Linked DNA regions of Cricetulus griseus. The protein of the gene in region 2 interacts with the protein of the main gene of each other region in a biochemical or structural test. Links are inferred from orthologs where the notes say so. Each region holds a gene or a part of one and is shown on either strand. Other genes may lie near its edges.

Region 1 (2,777 bases), on a different chromosome or scaffold from region 2:
TACTGTGTTCAGTTCCTCAAGTATCATGTGATACTCGTGACTAACGTTTTGTGAAGGGTCCTGTACTGTCAGTACCAGTTTTCAGTACATAGTGGATCACTTGATATATTTTGAACACCAGCAGGAGGCAACAACACAGTAATGAACCACTATAGGAGCTGACCCACACAAACAGCAGGTGGGAGAGGAACAAACAAGAAGCCCAAACAGGCAGTTTCCAAGTAATTTTATTCAGAATTTTGTGTTTGTTTCCTGAATCAATAAATACTATACAAAACAATGTAAAAATGGCTACCATTTTCTCTCCCCTGCTCCCCTCACCTGGGGACAATTCCCTGGACAACTTCATGCAGGGACTCTCCCTGTAGATTTGGTCCAGCAAATGAGGCCAGACATGTTTTAGCCCCTTGATTCACTTTTGGAGATTTGGCTGGGGTAGTAGGAAAGTCTTTAGAATCAGGTTAGGGGAATGGATTAGTGTTTTGGGGTTGGGGGAAGGAGACGGCGCCTGGGGCAGAACCTACCCCAAAGAAAAGGGTATCTATAATGTTCACGGTTCCTTCTTTTTGCCTCAAAAAGTGACATTTATTCAAAGAGAGAGAGAGAGAAAAACAAAACAAAAACAAAAACAAGATGTCCATCCCTTGGCTCCCTTCCCTCCCCCCTCCAGCTGTTCCTCAGCCCCCCAGGACTGAACCCTGGCTAGAGCCAGGTAACAGGACAGCCCCTCAAATGAGGTCAGCAACATTGAGGGGCATCTCTTCAATGGAGGTGTTGTAGAATGTCTCAATGTCTCGAAGAGTCCTCTTGTCTTCTTCTGTCACCATATTGATAGCCACACCTTTACGGCCAAAGCGACCACCACGACCAATTCTAAGGGCAAAAAGGGATAATAATGGAATGGGGAAAGAGGATGACATTTGGATTTCAGCGCTTGGGTATTTGGCACTGCAGACCCTTACTTACCTGTGGATGTAGTTTTCCCTGTTGGTGGGAAGGTCGTAATTGATGACTAAGGAGACCTGCTGCACATCAATGCCTCTGGCCTAGGTCAAGAAAGATCACAGAACTGTCAGAGGGTACAATCTGTCCAACTGATTTAGGAATACATGTAGGCAGCCAAGGCAGGGAAAGGCAACAAACAAGCATCTCTTGTTCCCCCAGAGACCTCAGGCATGCCAGGTTTTCTTCCAAGTTGCTACGTTCCTGAAAGGGGCACTAGTCAGCCCCTTGGAGAGGGAATCACCTTGGACTCAACTCCTCCCACCCCTCTTGCTTTTCCTGAAACAGGCCTCTACTCACCAACAGGTCAGTGGTAATTAATACTCTGCTAGAACCAGACCGGAACTCCCTCATGATCACATCTCGTTCCTTTTGGTCCATATCTCCATGCTAGAAAACAAGTAGCACAAGGCTTTTGGCATTCTATGCTTAAAACACAAGCACACACAGCTACTTAGAAGATCTGAGAAAACTTACCATGGCGGAAACAGTGAAATCCCGGGCATGCATCTTTTCAGTGAGCCAATCCACCTTCCTTCTGGTATTGATAAAGATTACTGCTTGGGTGATAGTCAGGGTTTCATACAAGTCACACAATGTGTCAAGCTTCCACTCCTGGAGATCCGGAAACATCAGTCAGGGGCTATACCCAACAACTTACTACCAGGTCCGCCTCCTGCACTAGGCCCCACCTCTCTTTCCACATTGATGTAGAATTGACGGATACCCTCCAGGGTCAACTCTTCTTTCTTGACAAGAATCCGAATGGGGTCTCTCATGAACTTCTTGGTCACCTCAAGGACATCTGAGGGCATTGTAGCAGACAACAAAACTACCTAGTTGGGGAGAGAAAAGTGGATGGCAATAAGGGTTGCTTGTCCTCCTCACATCACAACCAAGCCATGGGTTATCCTATGAAGACAGCAGCTTACCTGTGTGTTACTGTTGAGCTTTTGGAATATATCATATATCTGGTCCTTGAACCCACGGCTTAACATTTCATCTGCTTCATCCAGTACAAACATCTTGATGTATTTGGGGGCTAGGAAGACAGAAAAGATACCAACACATAATAAGAGAAATGTGAAACATTTAATTAAGTCCCTTAGTAAAGGGACAGGCAAGGAGCAGTCTGCTCTCAGAATATAAGGATTGATCCTTTGCCTAAGGCCTCCCTGCCAGGCCAGAAAATAGTCCTGGTAAGTAGAACACTACCTGGGCTAAGGCAACAGGGAAGCTGGGCTCAGATGACACGCATGGGGTTCATCACAGAGCAACTAACATCCTAGGAAAGTGCGACAACTGTAAAATGGCACTCACACAGGTATCTCCGGTTAAGCATATCAAACACCCGGCCAGGGGTGCCCACGATGATATGGGGAGCTTCCATCTGCAACTTCTGCACCTCAGCACGCACATTAGTGCCTCCAATACAGGCATGACAAGAGGCACCCATGTAGTCTCCTAATGCCATGACCACCTTTTGAATCTAAACAAAAGACAACTAAGTTAGCTTCGGCTATATACACCTGGAAGTTTGTTACTTTCCCCTTTAATCCATTTATCTAAAACTCTCCTTAAGACACCCCCCCACACACAAATGGCAGAATCCTTGTTTCTGAACACAGGCTAACAGTTAAGTTTTCCATCCTACACAAAACCCTCTAAAATACCAAGCCAGGCCACGCCAGCCCTTATGGCTTAGAACTAACTCACAGGCTCCATCCTGCCATCACATTCCAAAGGCTGGGATTATGAACACAACAATGTAAGCA
Region 2 (3,698 bases):
TGGATCTAGAAGACCAGATAGGAGGTCTGGCTTCCAGCCCCCAGCCTCACCTGTCCAGGGATATAGTAGGCTCCTTGGGAGGCGGAATAGGAGATCTGGGAAGGGATCATCATTACTTGGGATCCAGCAGGGTAGACATGGGTAGCTGGGCCAGGACGGGCAGGGGCTGCACTCTGCACTCTGGAGGCTGCACTGCTCGGGGGCTGGGCCCGGCTAGGGTAGAAGTGCTATTAGGAAGGAGGAAAGCAGTTGGGGTCAAGAAGGGGAGGGAGTCAACACTAAAATCAGCATTCCATTCCACAATGTACATACAATCTCAGAGTACTGTAGGCTTCAGAGCATGGAGACCAATCCTTCCAAAACCCACATGAACTGATGGCTAAGTGGCCTCTTGGTCTAAAACTTGTCTGGAAACTTAGATGAATACTTTGTATCCTGTACTCTCTCACTGCCATGCATACTCTATCACCTCTAGATGATCCCTCTAGAGTCTTCCTAACACCAAGATGCATCATGCTTAAGTAAGGCCCTCGAGGGCAACATACTTCCCAGCATGCACTATTCCACCTCAAATACTGATTAACTGCTACATGCAACAATCTTCCAGTTTTGAGATACTTGCTCTCCAACAGTTAACCTCTAACATGCAGTATTTGGACTCAAACTGAAGACCTCAACATCAAACAAGGCCCCACCCTGAATATCCCATCTGTGTCTAGCTATGGACTAGGGTAGAGGATGGGGTAACACCAAGAGGTTGCTCAGGATTAGGAAAGGGGTATTACCTGCAGAGACCTGAATCCTCCCTGAGAGCACATGGGGACAGGAAAGACGACAATTATCCCCAAGGTGATGGAAGGGGTTTAGGGGGAGTGGAGTAGGTAGGAAAAGAATCCTTCCACTTGGGAAGAACTTGGAGAACAGAAAAAAATGAAAGCGCAGCTGGAAAGTTCATCTCATCACAGTTCAAAGAGAAAGCGAAGAGGAACAGGGCAATGGCAACCTCCTAGTCACAGGAAAGAGCGGGCAGCAAGACCCACAGCACTGTCCCCAATTGTCAAAGGCATGAAGACCCAGTAATGCCACTTTCATAGACTACAAACTTCACAAAGGGTGAGCCACCATAACTAACACAGCACGAAAGAATTCAGAGCAACTGTCAGGAAATTGGGGGCAAGTACACAGCCTCCACAGTTTCCATACTAGTCCCAAACCAGATTTTCCCAGTTCCCACCCAGCGACCTACTCTAACCACAGCCCCTCACCTGGCGGGGCTGAGAAGGCGTGTTCATTTGTGTCGCTTGTGGCGTGCTAAACACCACCGGTGCAGTCTGCCCCGGGGGAAACGCTGGCTGAAGGGGAGAGACCAGAGTTCAGCAAGAGGGGAAGCCTGGGTGGGGCCGAAACCCAAGCTGGTGAAATAGGGGGAGCAGACCTGCAGCAAAAGCCTCAGCAGTCCACATGTTCCCTCCCTGTGACAGCCCCAGGGACAGCCAGGGGCCCTATCTCAATTTGGCAGCAGGCAGCTGCACTTTGCCCTGACACAGATGGGGGTGGGAAAACTGAGAGCTGCATGACCTCCACCCCAACCAGAGTTCTGCTCATTTTGCCTCGATTACCTGTGGGAGTCCAGGGGACCTGGCGGGTGGGGGGCCTGTGGGCTGAGGAGCTTTGTTCATTTCATTTGGTGCCACATCAGGGTCCCCCCAGCACCTGTTGGAAAGAACAGAGCTCGGAACCGGGAAAGGACCCGAGCTTACGGCAAATGGGCTGGGGGAAAGGTATCAAGAGCTAAGAGTAACGTGGATCAAGGGAGGTGCCAAGGGAATGCAGAAACACAAGTGATCCAGACTGTGGATCCCACCAACACACCGCAATACCCCGACCCCACCCTTGCCTGCTCAAACAGCCCCCTCACTCACCCCCTCGGTTAAGAATAAGTCCACAGTGCGGCCTACAGGTTCTGGGCATCCGAAGGCCTGGGGTTGGGAGGTGAGGGGTATCAACCTGGCTCCACGGGGCCCAAGACCAACCAGACCGGAAATTCCAGGTCTCGCTGGCACCAGGCTCCCGGATCACAAATGAAGCCGGCTGCTTCGGCCGTGGTGTCCCCACCCCCCACCCGGGGACACCGGGTTCGGAGCCTGCCGCGGGGCACTCGCACGGGGCCGAAGAGGCCTGAGACCGCCCGGGAACACGAGCCAGGAAGGGCACGAGCCCGGCCCTACCAGCAGGGCTGGCGGCGACGGCCGCCTTGCCGCTCGGGGCAGACGAGGGTCGGCCGCCGGGCGGGGCTGGGGGCTCCTCCCTGCCCGCCGCCGCCTCCTTGCCCTGCGCAACGCGGCCAGTGCCAAAGAACAACGTGTCACTTCCCGGCGGCCGCCCGGGCCCCGCAGGGGGAGGGGGCGGCGGGTCTGCGCCGCGTAGCCTGCGCCGGGCCACGTCCCCGGCCCAGCGAAGGTGGCTGTCGCGCCGCCGCCCCAGCGCCCTCCCCTCCCGGGTCGGCCGGGCCCTGCTCCCCACCCCCACCCGGGCCCGGCCCGGCACACGTGGGCCGGGGATCGGCCTGGCGAGTAGGGCCTGGGCGCGGGCGCGGGCCGGGGCGCCGGGGCGGCGGCGCAGGGTGGCGGCCCCGGCCCGGATGGCGGCGGATGCGGGGGGAGGGGTGGGGCCGGGTCGGGCCCGGACATGGCGGCTTTACCTTCAGTCTCCTTCAGTCCGCGCGGCCGAGCCCCACGCAGCCGCACAGACGTAGTCCACAACCATTTCCGGCTCCCCGCACAGATCCCGCTCGGCGGCCACCGCTTCTCCGCAGGCGCAGCCGGCGCCCCACGTGACCGGCGCAGAAGGCGGAGCCGCGTTGGCGCTGGGGAAGCACATGGGATTTGCTCCGCCCTGTCACGTGACGCGCACTGCCCGCCCTCGTGTCCCCTCCCGAACTTTGGAACTCCCAGGCCGACCCCCTCTGAGGCTCTGGCGGTTCTTTAGTTCATTCATACTTTGCGCATTTATTGAGCGCGTGAGTGCTAAGTGCCGCCCGGGAGCTGAGAGTGCTGAATTTAAATGCAGTCCTGTCCTTGTAAATGGTACACTACAAATTATGTAGCCTCTGAAAATGCTGTAGATTTGATCTTTGATAGTCCTATTAACAAGAAAATGAATGCTGCACCAAAAGAAGTGATGCATTCTAACTGAAGGCGCAATTTTACATTCACTGTTTACAATAAACCAGTTGCTGCTCGGGAAAGGCAAAAATCAATCACGAAAACTTTAGGAAGAAACAATTCTAAAAGTCGAGTGTACAGGTGCATGCATGTCTGTGATCCCCAGAATTCTGAAGGCTAAGGCAGGGAGATTGGCATGATGGTTCACTGGTTAAAGGACTGGCAGCTCTTCAAAAAGACCTGGGTTCAATTCCACTACCACTACAGTAGCTCACAATTGTCTGTAACACTAATTCTATATGCTCATCATGCTATCTTTTGGCCTCTTTGGCACCAGGTTTGCATGTGGTACAGACATACATGTAAGCAAAGCATTCATACAAATGACTAAAAATAAAATTTAAAAAATAGGAACAAATTTTAAAAATTTGAAACCAGCCTAGCTCAAGTTTGAGCTTTTAACGATCTTGTCTTTTTAGTTGTTCTTTTGTTTTGTTTTTGGCTGGGTGTGGTGGTACCGGCCTTTAATCCCAG

Evidence for each region.
Region 1: the proteins of Eif4g1 (region 2) and Eif4a1 form a complex in vitro, tested with the Homo sapiens proteins (3 studies listed by IntAct, with this or other methods). The link is inferred for Cricetulus griseus from reciprocal best matches to the Homo sapiens genes EIF4G1 and EIF4A1.

What each region holds. Positions count from the first base shown.
Region 1 is NC_048600.1:83,511,597-83,514,373, forward strand, and holds the end of Eif4a1 (eukaryotic initiation factor 4A-I), read right to left. Parts: intron 2,492-2,777; coding exon 2,323-2,491; intron 2,278-2,322; exon of another isoform or gene 2,137-2,277; intron 2,045-2,136; coding exon 1,935-2,044; intron 1,839-1,934; coding exon 1,695-1,838; intron 1,618-1,694; coding exon 1,480-1,617; intron 1,393-1,479; coding exon 1,303-1,392; intron 1,254-1,302; exon of another isoform or gene 1,108-1,253; intron 1,047-1,107; coding exon 967-1,046; intron 874-966; coding exon 729-873; 3' UTR 561-728; downstream 1-560. UniProt on the Homo sapiens protein: ATP-dependent RNA helicase which is a subunit of the eIF4F complex involved in cap recognition and is required for mRNA binding to ribosome.
Region 2 is NC_048597.1:67,977,119-67,980,816, forward strand, and holds the start of Eif4g1 (eukaryotic translation initiation factor 4 gamma 1), read right to left. Parts: upstream 2,855-3,698; 5' UTR 2,702-2,854; intron 1,980-2,701; 5' UTR 1,923-1,979; intron 1,714-1,922; 5' UTR 1,680-1,713; coding exon 1,620-1,679; intron 1,353-1,619; coding exon 1,266-1,352; intron 228-1,265; coding exon 51-227; intron 1-50.